Drosophila melanogaster: one gene and its partner. The protein of the gene in region 2 purifies or fractionates together with the protein of the main gene of each other region. This does not show direct contact. Each region holds a gene or a part of one and is shown on either strand. Other genes may lie near its edges. The genes, in order: CG10859 and Mfe2.

Region 1 (4,644 bases), on a different chromosome or scaffold from region 2:
TGCGTGAGAGGTCGCTCAAATCATCAAAATCCTCGCTGTCCTTCAAGTCCTCTGGTGAATTGATCAAAATCCTCGAAATATCCCGACCGGCATAGTTTGGATTAACGCCATTTCGTCCGTAATAGTGAACGGATCGCGAGACATCGTAGATGTTGAAAAGGATGGCCACTAGGATGCGACCGTCCGCCCGTGTGCCGTCATATTCCCGAAGTTCCCGAACCGTAAAGTCCTTCCGCAGTGGCGGAAGATCCACTTCCTGATTATTATCATCACTGAAGTCTGGTTCCTCGCGGCTCAGACGACGCGCAAAAAATCCCAACTTGAGGAACACGACGATCGACATGATCAAAAGGGTGACATCGATGGGTGTTTCCTTAAGGGAATTGTAAAGTTTGCAGTACCAGCTGGTGGTGTGTTCCATGCCCTTGGAGCTCTCAGCCATCCTGGTGCTTTCAATTCCAGAGTGTGAATGAATGAAGTGAAAAATTGTATGCAAACTCCCCTAACGACTGCCTTGTACTGACTGCCCTTTGTTAATTGATTGAAGTATTCAGTTAGGCCTTCTTTTTCTGAAAATTTAAGTAAACACCAATAAATCAGGGGATTCGATACCGATACCGGATACCTTTTACTCAGCTAATCGCATTACCCCTTTTGCGATACCTTGAAACTTGTGGAACATCCACATCGATTATATTACACTCTTTAATTGTAGTATAGCTATTGAAACTTATTATTTAAATTGCTTTATTGAAATGCATAAATGGGTTATACAATATTGTAAGAAAATGCTGGTCAAGTTATAACAAGGAAATCAAGGAATGGGCTGATGCATTTCGAATACAGTGCGCTCCATGGCGAATGTGCGCTTGGAACGCTGTATGGCGACATTTTCCATTGCTTCGTTGAACTCCAGAAGAGCCTTGCTGAATTCCGAATCGCTCTCGATCATCCTGAGGAATATGGTCGCCTCGTCCTCAACCTTCGGCTCCATCTCCTTCTTGGCCTGACCCTTCTTCTTCTTGGCCTCCAGCTTTTCCCTGGACTTGCGTTCCTCCTCCAAGAAGATGGTGGTCAGGCGCTTCTTCAACTTGATCTCTTCCTCGCGAGCCTCCAGAAGTTTGCAGCGCTGTATCTCCCGTTCAAACATCTGAACTTTCAGGAAATACATTAGAAAACATTGGGATCTGGAAGAGATGATAATCATCACTCACCGACATCATGAGAGACTTCTCCTTGTTGGTGGCACTTCGCATACCCTCCTCCAGGCGGAGCATCAGGCAATCGCCGTTGGCCAGGCTCACGGTTAGCATTGTTCCATCCGGCTTGAACACCAGATGGGTAACGGCGTACTTGTATTTGATGGTGAGAATCGGTCGTTTGTGAGACATCAGCAGGTCCCAAAACTCCAAGTTGCCCATGTTGTCTCCGATGCAGAACAGCGAGCAGCGTCCCGTGCTCCAGGCACCGCTCAGCAACTGATTTGGCCGGCGGAAGTAGAAGGTACTGGGGCAGTTCTTTACTTCCTCCGACCAGATCCGCACCCGCCAATCGCCCACCACCAAGAAGTTCTTTACAAAGAACGGATTACGCATTACACAGCGAATGGGACCGGCAAAAAGTTGATAGGCAGCAACGATAGTATCCTGCGGAGTGGTGCCCTTGCGATTGCCTACGAACAAGTAACCCATATCGGTGCAGAATATGAAGCGCACTGGTATGGTGTACTCGAACTCGAGAAAAGTTACGCCATGTGCATCCTGGCGATTTTGAACTGTCTGGGGGTCCGGTTCGGCCAGCACCTCATGAACCGGCATAAGAAGATCCCGGGTATCCCAGTACTTGATGGACCCATCCAGTGATCCTGAGTAAAACTCAGTGTTGAGTTTCGAGTGCACCCAGCAGATGGCCGTTGTGGCCTCGCGATGACACGCCTCCAGGGGACACATGCTCTTGGGACCACCCTGGTTCTCGGTTAGCCAGAAGCCGACCTGACCCTCCTGTAGTCCACCCACCATGTAGCTCTCATCCCGCAGGCACACCTTGGCAACCCGTACGACTCTCCTAGAATCGTAATGGGCAGCCGGTCGGGTGGCATCATCCAAGTTCCAAATGTAGAATGCATGCGGATTATCGTTGCCAAAATCGGGCAGCGTGTTTAGCTGTTTTGTGTAGTCCGGTGTCAGGCTCATTCGATTGGAATAGAACAGGAGAAACTGATTGGGATCGTTGTTTAGCCATTCGCACGTCATCAGCCTACGCGATGGGATCCACAGATCATGAAAGACATGGGTACCCCTGGCAGCGATCTTCATGCTGATGCCGCGGCCCAAATCCTCCGGTAGATCCACAAAGAAGTCCTCGTAGATGTTGACAGCATTGTTGGCCGAACTGATGTCCATTGCGGCGTGCATCAATTGGTTCACCTCGATGCCCCAGGAGTCATCACGCTCGACTTTTTTGCGATAGCGCATTGTGGACTCCTCGTCCATAATGTTCACCTCCTTGACGTTCCAGCCGCCTTCGTAGTGATTCAAGCCATGGGAATCCAGGGTCACGTTGTGTGTCAACACTGAAGATGCTGCATACTGTTCGCTCAGCTGGGTCCGTTCGTTGATCGGATTGCGCAGTATGTACTTGAGGCGCAACCGTCCACTCGGCTGCACACTGAGGATCATCTCGTTGCGGTCTGTGAAGAGGCACTGCCTCCCGAACCGGCGACGCTCCCGCGAGAGGATGAACTGATTGCCCAAGGTTCCCATTGCAATCGACTATATATATAATATATATATCAAATATATATAATTTTTTTTTATATAACAGATATCATAAGAATTGGGAAGATAGTGATTATCCCTGAGTGCTACTTTTTGGAACGATTGTAGGTATTAGGGCTTAAATAATGTCACTGGATAAAAAACGAAGTAATTTTAACGTGTTTGCTTCTTGAACAAATCTATGAAATTGAATGAAACCGTGGGTAGAGATATACTTTTATATCTGACTTATTAGTCATGGATAACGTGTATTTTAAATATATGTACACTTTCAAAGCTTGTAACTAAATACTATTAAGAAATATAGTCTACAATATAAAATTAAATTTATTAGTTACAATAGCATTTTTACGTATTTATCTTGTAGTTCCTGCGAAATTTCTTAAAATAGTGCAACTTATTTTTATATTACATTAAATATATTTTAAATCCAAAAATGTTAATTAACAGTGAAATAACAGTTTCCGGTGTGTAATTTTACAGCAGTCGGGTGACCATTTTCTAAACGCGTTAGTGTGCCTGTTGCGGGTAGTAACAGGTAGCCAAGATGCGGTCACATCGCATTGTTAGAACGCGGAAAACATTCAACTTTTTCGAAAGCAACGCCTAATTTATCCAATTAAATAGTGCGTAAAAAGTACAGAGCAAGCTTTGTTGCGTTGGCATTGAATGTGCGAAAGCGAATTGAAGCATTTTGCAATATGGTGAGTTGCAGGCTATGCCAATTGGATTATGTACTTTGTCTATTTTGATAAGCCTGTGCACAAATCTGTTGATTTAGAAATGGATCTGCAAGAATTCCTTTCCCTGGAACGCCAACAACTGGAGAAGGATCGCCAGCGGCTGGGCACCCAAAATCCCTGCCCCGCCGTCCAGCTAATGAAGTCCAACGACTTTAAAGTGCAATGTCGCAGGGCCAAGGAGTTTAAGGAGTCCACGGAGTCCAATGAACTCGCCACACAATCGTCTTCCTTGGCAACCGGCGGCCAAAACGAAGAACTTCACTTGGACTTGCACGAGGAGGAGGAGCAACCGCAGGATGACGAGCAGGGTGTGCTGCCCTCCCACCCCTCGAAGTCCACCAAGGAGCTCGCGAATCAGCGCCAGCTGCTCGTCGGCAGCGCTCGTCCGTATAAGTCGCCAGATGCGTCGATGCGACGCAATTTGGAGAACGAGCGGCCGCTCAGTGAGAACCGCTTCCCAATTCATCGTTCGGTAAGTGCACTGAAAGAAAAGAGTATTGAATATAATTTTATTTAAGATAGTACCCATTTTTCTAGTCCACAAAAGAGTTCATATTAAAAGTATTAAAATTGTTTTAACTTACGCATGCCATGCGTTATTCATATGAAATTGTATGCACTGAAATATAAATGTATGTTGAAAAAGTTTATATAGGATGTATGTACGTTTGAGTTTGTTTTCAGTGCAGATCCACTGAATCAGCGTTGAAGATCGAGCTCTAGAATGTGCGTTGCGCTTCACTGGCGCCTCTTACCGCATCGCATCGCCAATTTGTCTAGCGATTGGCCATAAATGTGCGAAATGGGTTTCTCTACGCCTCGTTGCGCTGTTCACTTATGTTCAAGCTTTTCCAAACTCAATTTTTTAGGAATCATCGCCTTAGTTGCAAAAAAGGTTTCACAGTGCTCTTAGTCTTAACTAGCTGCTTGTGGGCAATTTGGTGAGTTCTGGACATTTAGAAAGCCTTAAGTATAAAATATATTACTATTTATGTCGCTGTTGGTTAAAATATAAAAATTTACATACTTTCGAACAATTTAAAATTTAAATTTAGCCTTTACTGAAAAGGGCCTTCTATAATGCTTCCTAAAATTTTGTTTAAAATAACAATAAGCAAAAGATT
Region 2 (5,534 bases):
CGTCTGGAGAATATGTGGTGTCCGGGAGCAATGATACCACCGTCAGGTGAGCCAAGGACCGATATATAAATAGTCAGAGTAACCCATGAGTCATTCGGAAGCTCTAGTTTCCTTATCAAGTGGCAGATTTAAAGTTTATTCGTTGATTGAAAAGGGATGGCGATATTCTCCCTCCCTCTTTTAGCTGTGCTTAATCCTATAGAATCGCGTATTTTGGGTTTAATAATCTACACAAAAGAAAAATCTCATATTTAGAAATTAGAAATTTTATATCGGTTTAATGCACATACATATTAGATGCATTGTATCTATATGGTCTTTTCTTAGATATCACTTGACCTATATATGTGTAAAACAAAGATAATATGACTCACTACATTGCACAAAAGGGGACAGGCTGACAAAGATAATATCACTTTGTGTTGTTTAGCTAAAGTTGATATTTCTTTTGGGATCTCATATATCTTATCTCTCAGATCTATTACATCCATGATCTTAAACAACATTGCATTTTCAGTTATGTGATGTTTTATTGGGAGTTTTATAAAAGTGTTACAAAAAAATACTTCTACCACCACGGGCGTTTAAACAATTGCATATGTATAGGCATATTTGTTATAGTGTATGTACAAAAAAAAACGGACGCGAAACGAATTATAAAGTCAATGATAATCCATTGCGACTAAGGCAGACTATGTGTCTCTAGGTGATCCGCGCTTACAGCTTGGCCTGTGAGCTCTTCAGGTCGACATAGGCGCCGGATATGACCTCCTTGCCGGTCTCCACGACCACGGTGCGGAAGTTGATGCGTGTGCCCTGCTTCCACAAGTCCACGCGCAAAGTCTGGCCCGGAATTACGGGTCCGGAGAAGCGCACTTTGACAGCCTTGAACAGAGCCGGGTTGTTGTCCGCAAACTGAGCGAGCACGGCGCGCACCGAGAAGCCCAGTGTGCAGAGTCCATGGAGGATGGGTGTCTTGAAGCCGGCCAGCAGGGCCATCTGGGGATCGATATGCAGGGGGTTCTTGTCGCCGGACAGACGGTACAGCGCCGCCTGGTCCTCGCTGGTCGTATACTGGACGGTTGCGTCCGGTTGGCGATTGGGCGCCGGCTGCAGCGGAACTACACCAGCGATGGGATCCTTCTTGCCTCCGAATTTGCCAGCGCCGACAATGAAAGTGGTGCTCTGGTTGCGCACCAACAGGCGGCCACTTTCGTCGAACGACTCGCTATTGGTGACGACCACGGCGCCGGATCCCTTGTCCATAACATCGAAGACCTTGCCGTTGGTCAGCAAAGTGCCACTGGTGGGCAGATCGTCAACGATCTCTAGGTACTGTTCGCCGTGCAGAATGTTGCTGAAGTCCACTTGGCTGTTGGGCAAAGCCTTGCTGAGCAGCTTGTCGGTGGACATTTGCAGCAGAAGGCCGGGCAGAACGAAGAAAGTTGGAATGGCGGCGAAATCGGCATCGTTTTCGTACAGGAAGCGCATGTCCTTCGCGTTTTTGACGGATGCCCCAATGCCCAGGGCGTAGGTAATAAGCTCTTTGCTATTGAACTCGAAGGCATCCTCGATGGCGTCGCCGCCGCCTTCCTTGAGCTTCTCAAGCACTTCCAGCAGGGTGCCGGAGGCCTCTGCGATGGCACCCAAGTGCTTGGCCTTGGACATGTCGGTCACATTCGACCACACATCCTTGACGTACTCAATGGTCACGGGGTCGTCCAGCGAAGGACGCAGCACAGCGCCCTTGCCGCGAACCATGTGCAGCTTGGTGGCCCAGCCGGCGGCACTCTCGATATAGCTACCTGTGGATCGGAGAAGAGGGAGAGAGAAAACGTTTAATAAACCCTATATATACACACATGTACACATATTCCTGATAAACGGTCTAAGTTCAAACGCTATCAGTATGAATTTCCCTAATCAGGCAGATTATGTTGACCATTTGGATTGGACTACTGGACATATTAAAGATGACTTAGCAGTGGTTGGCCAAAAATTGCATAATTTTGTAGTTCTCAAAGGGTTAAATTGATACAAATTGATATGATAATCAATTCTGAGATAATGCAATTCTCGCATAACTTCGGATCCCACTTACCATTATCCTCGCAGGACTCGTGGCACAAGTAGGCCACTACGGGAGCAATCAGCTTGGGCTTCAGCTCGTTGAAGAGAATGTCGGGCAGAATGCCCTCGGTCATTCGACTGGCGGCAGTTGGCACGATGACGTTGCAAAGAACATTGTTGCGGGCTCCCTCGATGGCAACCGTGTTGGCCAATCCGATGAGGCCCATCTTGGCGGCAGTGTAGTTGACCTGCCCGAAATTACCATAGATGCCCGAGTTGGACGATGTCATGATGATGCGGCCATAGTTCTGCTTCTTCATGTACGGGAATGCCGCCTGGGTGCACTTAAAGCTGCCCTTCAGATGGACATCGTTGACCAGATTCCAGTCCTGTTCGCTGGTCTTCACCAGACTCCTGTCGCGTAGAATGCCGGCATTGTTGACCAGGATATCGACGCGTCCGAAAGCTTTGATGGCCGTCTCGATGACCTTTGCCCCATCGATTACCGAGTTGTAGTCGGCCACCGCCTCGCCGCCGGCCTTACGGATCTCATCCACCACAATGTCGGCGGCCCGCTGCGATGCTCCATCGCCGGAGTGGGTGCCACCCAGATCGTTGACCACCACCTTGGCGCCACGCTCCGCGAAGAGCAGTGCGTACTCGCGGCCCAAACCGGCACCAGCTCCCGTCACCACCGCCACACGGCCATCGTAACGAAGTTTTCCATCGGATGAGGACATGGTCTGTCTATTGGTCAATAGCAATCGCAATTTCTGGTTTCGCTGCACAAATCCGGTCTCTGCGGCAACGCTTTTTCGGCTGTAAAACACGAATGAACCGATGAAAATAAACTGGTTGGCTAATAATCGAACAAGAAAGGAGAGTAGCACTACTTTTCAATCGTACTTAATCTCAAGCGATAATGCTATCTGCCCTGCCCTCGCATATGTGAGTGTAACTCTGGACTCTTCGGCTGAAGAACGTTACCCAGGCGATATGGTCCAAGTCCAGGGGTTCACGGTTCATAGTCAAGTGCTTTTCGGATGGCACCGAAATCGCCGAAATCCGAGATACAAGATACATTTGCACAGTGACGACAGCACAGTTATTCGAACCGCGTGAAATGGCCCACACACACACACATTAAACAAGGGTTAACTTACAGTTCTCGTAGATTCGCCGTATGATGGTATGGTATGCCCGAATATGCACAGATTAACCCAGTATCAGTGGTACAAAGTGCATCACTATTCGCTGCCGAGATAATTTTGCAATCGTTTAATCGGTTCAACCCATGAAAATGCACTAAAATATACTGCCCGCATTCATACGTTTGTGAGCACTAGAAAGTAGTGCCGTCAAAATGCTGGAAAGCAGTGCATCGCGGACGTAAACCTCGGTTCGGAACTTCGCTAAGCCGTAGCAAAGACTCCAACCCGTTTTCATTTTCCAGACGATTAAATTTAAAAATGAACAATTATGGAAATTACACTTATCTTCCACATTTCAAATTCAACTATGTCTCTTTATTTAACATAGAAATGTATAAAACAACAATAAATTGAGCAACAATAAATGAATTAACTAGGAGATTACATATATTATTGAAACTTTATGAATTACATATGCTTTGTTGCTTATTTAGCAAACTATTAACTTTCATATGTCTGCAATCTCAGGCTTTGGGACGTGCAGAACGAAAACAACTGCATTAAGGTATGTCGCGGCCACATGTCCCACGTGAATTCCGTAAAATTCTCGCCGGATGGTCTTTGGATTGCCTCTGCTGGCCTGGAGGGTTCCATACTCATCTGGGACATACGGAAGAGCAAACAGATAATGGAGTTCATAGCCGATCCGCCGGTTACGGCTATCACATGCGTGCAATTCCATCCGTTTGAGTTCCTGCTGGCCGCCGGTCGCGTCGATGGCACCGTTTCCATTTACGATCTGGAACACCAGCAGCTCGTCTCGCAGACCACGCACTTCTATGGCCAGGCCATCAGGTGTATAACCTTTAGGTGAGTCCTGCAAAGAATAATCCGCAATCGTGAATTGATTTATGAAAAGAAATAGTAATATAGTAATTTTGCCAAAAAGTGCATAAATTCTAATTATCTGCATGTTAAACTTTATTTATTTCAGTGACAATGGCGAGTGCCTTTTTGTTGGCAGTTCTTCGGGCATTTCGGTAATTGGATGGGAACCGGATCGTGAGCTGGACCATATAAAAAGCACCTGGTCCTCCTTGGCGGACATGAAAGTGGTCAACAATAAGTTGGTAAGTGAAAGCACTTACTCATTAAGCGAAGCACCCTTCCAAATCTCGTCATCCCCGTTATCTTTTTTGACAAAAATAATCAGTATTTTGGTCAGAATATTCTAAAAAATGGTCCAAATATGGAGTGTCATACCTCGTTGAGTTTGTTTTTTTAATCCAAATCGATTTGCATTCAAATTTGGGAATTCTAGGTTTTTTAAATTTTTTGCAAATTTTGATGATAAAATTTTGATTATAAAAAAGGCGAAAAATTGGCCAAAAACTAATTTTACAAAATCCGTCCAAAAGTGAAAGGGGTGGTTAGTATTGGTAATTAGGAGCACAAAACGGTATTTCTTTTGGCGGTGTGGCCATTTTTAGTCAAGTTATACCCAGAAAACCAATCTTAAATATTGCATTTTATGCCAAAACTGGTTTCACTGATTTTATGCGAAAAAAATAATCGGTATTTTGAGCAAAACATTAAAAATAATGGCACAAATATGGAATGTCATAACTTGTTGAGTTTCCGAATCAATTCGCATTCAAATTTAGGAAATCTAGGTTTTTCACTTTTTGAAAAACCAATCTTAGATCTTAAATGTAAAATGTCTACAAATGGAATATCCAATAAAAACCATTGCACTTCCTTTTGTAGATCTGTGGTTGTCATGAGATCGACACCGTTTCAATCAACACCATCAGTCTGGATCGAGTGATACCATTCTATCAGCCGCCAAACTCACTACCCAACTTTAAGCACAACTCGACGAACCGAAAGAGCTTTACACGTGGCAACCAGAAGTTCAGGCTGTCAGTTGGCGGTGCCAAGCCGGCACAGGTGCAGGAGGAGCACGAGGGCGACAAGAGTGGATTGTCCTCGCCCAACTATAGTCTGGAGGTTGTGAACGAGGCGGTGCTGGAGTCGGCGGAGACTTCTCCAATGTCCTCGTTGCCACCTGTCCACTTGGCTTCGATGGCCGGATCGTCGGCGGACTTGGCGCCGCATCATGTCGTATATGGCGGAGCAATCGATTCTGCCCTAAGGCAGGGTAAGTACTCCAGAGTGCCTGATAATATGGCCAGCTATGGCAGTAGTTACGGGGCCATCGATACCCGCCTGATGTCCTTGAACGAACCCAGTTCACTGCACAAGCCGGACATTTACAATCTATATCCGCTGGACAAGAACGAGGAGGCGGAT

What was found.
Region 1: the proteins of Mfe2 (region 2) and CG10859 purify together in Drosophila melanogaster (affinity purification with mass spectrometry, with the first as the bait; one large-scale study listed by BioGRID). This does not show direct contact.

The regions. Positions count from the first base shown.
Region 1 is NT_033779.5:13,395,660-13,400,303, forward strand, and holds CG10859 (uncharacterized protein), read right to left. Parts: upstream 3,006-4,644; 5' UTR 2,763-3,005; coding exon 1,215-2,762; intron 1,151-1,214; coding exon 815-1,150; 3' UTR 733-814; downstream 1-732. Other genes in the region: CG16957 (uncharacterized protein), read right to left, coding at 1-442; CG7110 (uncharacterized protein), read left to right, coding at 3,561-3,992.
Region 2 is NC_004354.4:16,268,796-16,274,329, reverse strand, and holds Mfe2 (peroxisomal multifunctional enzyme type 2), read right to left. Parts: upstream 3,380-5,534; 5' UTR 3,234-3,379; intron 2,927-3,233; exon of another isoform or gene 2,890-2,926; 5' UTR 2,811-2,889; coding exon 2,102-2,810; intron 1,806-2,101; coding exon 718-1,805; 3' UTR 515-717; downstream 1-514. Other genes in the region: kat80 (katanin 80), read left to right, coding at 1-46, 3,750-4,091, 4,216-4,351, 4,989-5,534. UniProt on the Drosophila melanogaster protein: Bifunctional enzyme acting on the peroxisomal beta-oxidation pathway for fatty acids.